Ovis aries: one gene and its partner. The protein of the gene in region 1 interacts with the protein of each later gene in a pairwise test. Links are inferred from orthologs where the notes say so. Each region holds a gene or a part of one and is shown in the gene's direction. Other genes may lie near its edges.

What was found.
Region 2: the proteins of VIM (region 1) and SMARCB1 interact in binary tests that used the Homo sapiens proteins (3 or more experiments, as listed by UniProt). The link is inferred for Ovis aries from reciprocal best matches to the Homo sapiens genes VIM and SMARCB1.

Annotation. Positions count from the first base shown.
Region 1 is NC_056066.1:31,055,180-31,058,924, forward strand, and holds the start of VIM (vimentin), read left to right. Parts: upstream 1-946; 5' UTR 947-1,093; coding exon 1,094-1,656; intron 1,657-2,296; coding exon 2,297-2,357; intron 2,358-3,745. UniProt on the Homo sapiens protein: Vimentins are class-III intermediate filaments found in various non-epithelial cells, especially mesenchymal cells. Vimentin is attached to the nucleus, endoplasmic reticulum, and mitochondria, either laterally or terminally.
Region 2 is NC_056070.1:71,287,791-71,291,535, forward strand, and holds the start of SMARCB1 (SWI/SNF-related matrix-associated actin-dependent regulator of chromatin subfamily B member 1), read left to right. Parts: upstream 1-978; 5' UTR 979-1,166; coding exon 1,167-1,259; intron 1,260-3,745.

The DNA of each region.
Region 1 (3,745 bases):
CTTTGTCGGGTTCTTAAGAACTCAGGCGCGCGCTAGTCTTCACGCAGGCGAACTGCCCACGAGAAAGCTGAGGCCCAGCTCGAAGTTGTGTTAAACTTCGACAAACTGTGCGCGCAGGCCCGGGGAGGCTGGAGTCAATCTCGTCTAACGGTTTCCCTGTACCGCTAGGAGCCTTCGGCGGGACAGCCGGGTGCAGTGACTCAGTGCCAGTGACTCAGCGACCCCACCCTTCTCCCCCAGGCTTTCCTCGGCCGCCGCCTCGAAGCGCGCACCGTCCAAAGGGGACCCAGTCCGTTAGGTCCCTGAACAGGAATTCCCAAGACAAGAGGACGAAGAGAGACGGGGTCCGCATCAGATCCTCTTTCGAAGCGGGCTGTGCACACACTCCTGCGCGGGGCCCAAGCCCTGCGTCCAGAGCTGTGCGCGCCCCCACCTCGCGCTCTAATCTCAGGCCCTCTTTGTTTCTTTCTCCACGCCTCCAGTTCTGCGGGATCCTGCACTCCCCCTCCTCCTGCTTCTTGGCCCGCGGGGCTCCGCATCCTCTCTCTCCCAGTAAAGCGCAACCCAGCTGCGGCGCGCCCCTCCCACCCGCGCGCCTCCTCCTACAGCTCTTTGGCGCGGAGCCCGGGACCCCTCTGGTCCAGTCCTGGCGGGTTCCCCCTGCACCACTGCGCGACCCCTCCTTTATCAGCACCCAGAGGTGAGCAGAGCTCGGGCCACCATCAGGAAAGCCCCTGAAAGTCCCAGCCCAGCTAAGAAGTAACGGGGCTGTGCTCAGTCCCCGTTGGGGAAGATGGGGGAGGAGGACGGCTCCGGGGCGCCCCCGCCCCAACCCCCCGCCCAGCCTTCCCCATTGGCTGGCGCACTCCGTCGCCGGGATGGCAGTGGGAGGGAACCCTCTTACCTAACGCGGTTATAAAAACTGCGCCCCGCGCGGGGTCCGGTCCTCTGCCACTCTCGCTCCGGGCTCCCCGCGCCAGAGACGCAGCACCGCTCCCTCTGCCCACACCCACCGCGCCCTCGCGCTCGCCTCTTCTCCCGGAGCCAGTCCGTGCTACCGCAGTCGCCCAGTCCACCGCCACCCTCTGCAGCCATGTCCACCAGGTCCGTGTCCTCGTCCTCCTACCGCAGGATGTTCGGCGGCCCAGGCACCGCGAGCCGGCCGAGCTCCACCCGGAGCTACGTGACCACGTCCACCCGCACCTACAGCCTGGGCAGTGCGCTGCGCCCCTCCACCAGCCGCACCCTCTACACCTCGTCCCCGGGTGGCGTGTACGCCACGCGCTCCTCGGCTGTGCGCCTGCGGAGCGGCGTGCCCGGCGTGCGGCTGCTGCAGGACTCGGTGGACTTCTCGTTGGCCGACGCCATCAACACCGAGTTCAAGAACACCCGCACCAACGAGAAGGTGGAGCTGCAGGAGCTCAATGACCGCTTCGCCAACTACATCGACAAGGTGCGCTTCCTGGAGCAGCAGAACAAGATCCTGCTGGCTGAGCTCGAGCAGCTCAAGGGACAGGGCAAGTCGCGCCTGGGGGACCTCTACGAGGAGGAGATGCGAGAGCTGCGCCGGCAGGTGGACCAGCTCACCAACGACAAGGCCCGCGTCGAGGTGGAGCGCGACAACCTGGCCGAAGACATCATGAGGCTCCGGGAGAAGTAAGGCGGCGCCCACGCGGGGCTGAGGGAGGGATGAAGTGGATACCGGAGCTGCCACGCCCTTGGGGATGTGGCCCGGGCGGCGGCTGCCGGGGGTGGGGGTGGGGGACAGCGGGGGAGCAGGGTTGTGGCTTAAGCGGTGCGGGCCCCGCCCTGAACCAGAATCTTCCAAGTTAGCATTTTCCCTCTACCCCGACTCATTGCCCAAGAACGCACGTTTCAAGTTGCAGACTTTTAAAAACTACCACTGTGTACTCTGCTGCTGCTGCTGCTGCTAAGGCCCTAGAAAAGGATGAACGCGATTTCCCCAAACTTTGAGAAAGTTTCCTGTCCCCCTCTGGCTGGCTGCCAGCCAACGGGCCGTGGAGAGAGCGAGACAAAGGGATTGTAGAGTCTCCGCGGTGAGGTGGTGGCGGGCGTCTCGCAGGTCGGGGTGGCGACAGTGATTGCTTTTCCACGCAGAGGCCAAGGTCCCGCTTAAACTTGCCTAGGACAGCAGGTCTAAGCCGCGGTCGCTAATTGAGCGCGGAGGTGGCGCAGCAACCCTTGGGTCTCTGCGCCACGACTGGGTGTTTGGGTGTGGTCGCCCCGCCCCTGGCGGTTTCCCGGTTCCCCTGTGGTTAATCTGAAACTGTTTCAGGTTGCAGGAGGAGATGCTTCAGAGAGAGGAAGCCGAGAGCACTCTGCAGTCTTTCAGACAGGTTGGTAGATTCCGTTCCTACTCGAAGCCACGGGACGCCACCCTCCCGCCCAACCCACGAGCAATTCTAAAAGTTTCTTAACCCAAGTCTGAATCATACAAAACTTCACGTCTGCGCGCCAAGCCCCCTAGTGGCAGAGAGACCGCAGTTCTGGATAAAAGCCCTTGAATGATTAAACCGTTCCGTAGGACATGGTCTTTAACATTTTTTAATTTGTTTCAAGATTCTTTTCCCAAGAAATCATTTTTTTTTCCGTTTCGTGTTTGCAACACGTTGATATTTTGATTTTGAAGAGTTACAGTTTGATTTAGGTTGCGGTTTTGCCAAAGTTGACTACCTTTTACAAGGCCACAAAAAGCACAATTCTGCCCTGTAGTTTTAGATGTGAAATGGATGGGAGGATAAGAAACTTAGTGGAGCCAGAAATTTTATTTTCTTGCCGGCAAGTTCTATTGTGGCCCCAAGGTTAGACAGAAGTATCGCTATGCACAACTAATTTGTGATCTAATAAGGATGAAAAGGAGCCATCTGTCCCCTTGGCTGAAAGGTATTAATGGTTTCTACGGACTTCACTATGGAATGTAGATACAGACATTCTGGCAAGTGTGGTGGCTCTGGTCAGAAAGAATAGGAGTCTTTGTGTTCCTGGAGACGCTTTGCAACAGGCTACATTCTTATTGAATATGTAATGATGCAAGCACTGTTCTAATTGGACACAAGTATTTGCTAACACCCCCGTTATCTAATATCTGGCCCAGACTGGAAGTATGTGATGTGAAAAGTTCTTAAAGCTGCAGTCCTACCTCACATTTGGAAAGGCCTTCCTTTTTTGAATCCTTGTATTCTTTAGCATTTTCTCCATAAAGAATAAAGCTAAAAATGAAGGATAGGATTTTAAGAAAAATGGTTTTCTTGCTCCAAAGATAGATGGCCTTTAAGGATTTTTAACTTAAAGTTGGATCCCAAAGAAGATTAGTTGCCAGCAGTTTTATTCTCCTGAACCCTCACTGGGACTGGCTCTAAAAGCTCCCTCAAGCAAATAGTCTAGAATACTTTTTGAAGCAGAAATGTATTTATCAAGTTAAACACAGAAATGTGTGGTTTATTTCAGTCATTGAGCATTTCTGATCATCATGTCTGTAATGTTTTCTTCCCCGGTAGTAACTTCATATAAAATAATATTAGTATAAATTGTTCCTCCTATTTAGGGATTAGATAAAACCACTCATATTCTCTTCAAAGAAGTATAATAACACATAGAACTTTTGAAAATTGAGAATAGGATATTATCTTTTGCAATGATTAACAACAAGCAAAAATGATTCTTTTTCCCAAGACTGATCATTTTATTATCACCCCTTTCTCATTTACTTTTCCATGAAGGTGAT
Region 2 (3,745 bases), on another chromosome or scaffold:
GCCACCAGGCAATGCAGGAGACCTAGGTTCAGTCTCTGGGTGGGGAAGACCCCCTGGAGAAGGGAATGACAATCCGCTCTAGTATTCTTGCTTGGGGAATCCCATGGCTACAGCCCATAGGGTGCAAAAAGACATGACGGAGCAAGTCACACACACACAAACACACACACACACACACCCTACACACACACACGCCCCTACACACACACACGCCCCTATACACACACACACACGCACCCTACACACACAGACGCTACACACACACACACCCCCCTACGTGGATGCTCATAGCGGCGCCTCTCATAGCTGCCAGGTATCAGGTGCTGACATGGGCAGCCATCAGCAGTGGGCCGTTTCTGACCTACTGCCGTGCTCCACCGGATACACGGGTGCCTCCCTGTGTGTCGGCCCGCTGGGCTGCCAGCGCCCCAGGGCAGGGGGAGGCACAGGGCACAGAGTTAAGGAGAGGACGGGGACGTTCGCTCCTCCCCAGCTCTCAGCGGGCAAAACAGACGCCGGCTGGGCCTAGGAATCCTGCAAGCCCGGTAGTCTCAGCCCATGCCCGCCCCATCCCCAGAGCCACAGGAACGGGGGCCGGGGGGCTGGCCCGGAGCTGGGATACTGGTCCCTGGGCCGCCCATGTGCTCAGCCGCACAGCGTCCTCTGGGCGGGGAAACTGAGGCAAGGGAGCCTCTGGCTTCCTCCCGGCCTTCCGGGCCTCGCCTCGTGCCTCCTCACCAGGGCAGCACGCCAGCCCCGGCTGTGAGACGGGGAAGGGCGCCGCTCGAGTCAGGGCGGCGGCTGCTATTTCTGCCCGTGAGCGGCCTTCCCTGGTACCTCCACTTGGGAGGCGGCCGGGAAGGCCGAGAAACGGGCCGAGGCTCCTTTAAGCGGCCCGCGGGGGCGCGCTCGGCCCTTTTGTCAGGGCGGCGACGGCGGCGGCGACGCGCGCGTCAGCGTCAACGCCCGCGCCTGCGCACTGAGGGCGGCCTGCTCGTCTTCTGCGGCGGCGGCGGCAGAGAAGCCCAGCGGCGGCGCGAGCGCCCCCGGCCCGGCCCGCCCTTCACCTCCCGCGTCGGCTTCCCCGGGCTAGGAGCGCCCCCGGCCCCGCCTCGGCCCTCCCGATCCTCGCAGCCCGGCCGTGGCCGCCCGCGTCTGCCGCCGCAATGATGATGATGGCGCTGAGCAAGACCTTCGGGCAGAAGCCCGTCAAGTTCCAGCTGGAAGACGACGGCGAGTTCTACATGATCGGCTCTGAGGTAGCCGATCCTTGCCCTCCGGGCCTCCCGGTCGGCCCGGTTCCCGCGGGAGCCTCGGGGCGGGTCTGCGCGCCGGGAACGCGCGTCTCCATTCATCGCGGAGGGCCTGCGTGCGCGTGCGCGGCCTGGCGCATCGGGGCGTGGCCTGTTGGGGCGTGGCTGAGCAGCCCCGCCCCCGCCGTCTGGGCACGCCCACCCGTGTCCCGCAGGGACGCGGTGGGCGGATCGGGTCGAGAGCGTGGTCTATCGGGGCGTGGTCGAGCAGGCCCCGCCCCGCGCTCCGCAGTCTGGGAACGCTCACGCGTGTCCCTGGCCGCGGGGGTCGCGGTGGCCCCGGGTCCGCGCTGAGTTCCACAACTCCAGCCGGACGTACAGAAACGGGGTGTTGGGTTATCCCTTGCTGCACACGGGGCGAGGAGTTGGACCCCTCGCACGCTCCCTCCTCTCCCTCGTTGCCCCAGCTGGAATCCTGAAACCGCTGATTCGAAACACCGAGCTTAGTCGGGGGCTCACCCGCTTGGTGCTCTTTGACTTGGAGTTGGGCGGGTGGGCGTTCTGATCTTCCATTATCAGTGAGAAGACAGGTTGGGAGAACGATGCTTGATTTTGGATGGCTAGGGCCCAGCCAGCCCTGAGCTAGATCCATCAGCAAATGGGAGGCACCTGGCACTTCGGCTATCTTGGACTAACTCTGAGTTAGTGCGAGGGAACGAGCGCGGAACCCCTTCATCCTTACCTAAACAGTGACCTTGCAGCACTGTGAGCCGGCTGGGTTAGCAGTGTGCACCAAGTATACGAAGTTCTTCCAGTGTCCCTCAGCCTTTGGCAGTCTCCGGCGTGTGCGTGTGTGTCCACACACACATTTTAAAATTACGGATCCGCAGTTCAGGTGTGCAAGCGCCGAGCAGCAGTGCCTCCCTTTTGTAGAGAGGCGAGTGCGGGTCTTGGGGAGTTACAGCAGTCACAAACGCCGCCGACGCTTGCTTCTCCTGGCAGCAGTTTTCAGTTTTACGCATTTCACTCTTTTGTTCTTTTTTACCATTTTTTTTCCCTCTTCATGATGGAATACGCTGTGAATGAATTAAGCCTCATGATGGTCACACTCAGTGAGGCTTTCGGGAGTCCCTGTGACTCCCTGTGGCTTGTCTGACTTGTATTGAGTTAGGAGACCCATGTTGTCAGTAGCATCAGAACTTTCTGTGTTTCCTTTCCTCACCGGTTTTTATGAAACACGGGGCCGGATGCAACGTACTTTCACATTATCACAGAAACGCTCCTCTTGACAGCTGGCCGTACTGGAGAGAGGCGCCACTGCCTGCCACGTGCCGCAGCTCAGAAGGGTCTTCGCCAGCCTGTGGGCACGGATGCGGCATGTGGTGACTGGCAGGTTAACTAAAGAAACCTTCACCGGATCTAACGGGCAGGAAGGAAAAGCGCTTGGTTTAGCACTGGCTCTGAGTCGGTGGTACTTTTGAAAATCAAGCTTGTGTTTACTGGGTGGAGCCCGGTGTCAGGTGGGCAGAGCGTGAGGAGCTCTGGCTCCAGCCTGGTGTCCATGGCACTTGTCTCGGGCATCTGATGAGATGCTTAGGCTAGACAGCTTCTGCAACTTGCCCTGCAGCACATCTCAGACTGAGAAAGACAACTGCAGTCTTGGTGAGTGAGAAGATTTGTCCTGAGATGCAGTTTATGGAGACCAGACGGCAGGAGGGAGAGGCAGTTGCCGTCCGGGGCCTGACTTTACAATGTTCAGACCTCAGGAGGCCTGGGCAGGGTTCAGGGCTAGACTGGCATCTACTCACAGCCAGCAGCTCTTCTGACAGCAGGGGTGCTTGGCCCCCGGGCGGTTTCCCTGGGCAAACAGCAGGCGCTGGTTTCCAAGAGGCACGCCAGGCAGAGCAGTGCCTACAGCGCCCCACACCACTCGGGGTAGCAGCCTTGGGAGGGTGTCTGCAGCTGCCCCAGTCCTGCCCCCCCCAGGGGCAGCTGTCATCACCACACAGAGGCACAGCCGAGGGGAGCCCAGGGGGCCTCCATACCAACACCTTCGTTTTCCATTTGGGAAACCCAGGTCCAGAGGGGGCAAAAGCTTGTGCAGGGAAAACCCAGGGGGCAGACTGAGTCCCCTGAGTTCTGAAGGGACCTCGGGAAGGGCCTAGGAGGCTGGGAAGCCTGCAGGACCTGCACGGTGGTACTGGGGGCATTAGGGTCAGTGTCTTGTCAAAAACCTCCTAGAAACTCTATGTTTACCCCCAGATGGTAACCACGCTCAAGCCAGGTAACTCGAAAGGGCCTGCCCCTGCAGCAAGGAGCAGGAGGGACGTTGTGGCCGCTCTCTCACGCTGTTCAGCAGCCGTGGTTGTGTAAATCTCTAAACTCATGAAAAATGGAGAAACTAAAAAAGAAAAATACTATAGTGGGGTAGGTACATGGGAAAATAGCACAAGTGGGTCCTTCGAGGGTGAACTTTACAGCTGATGAACATC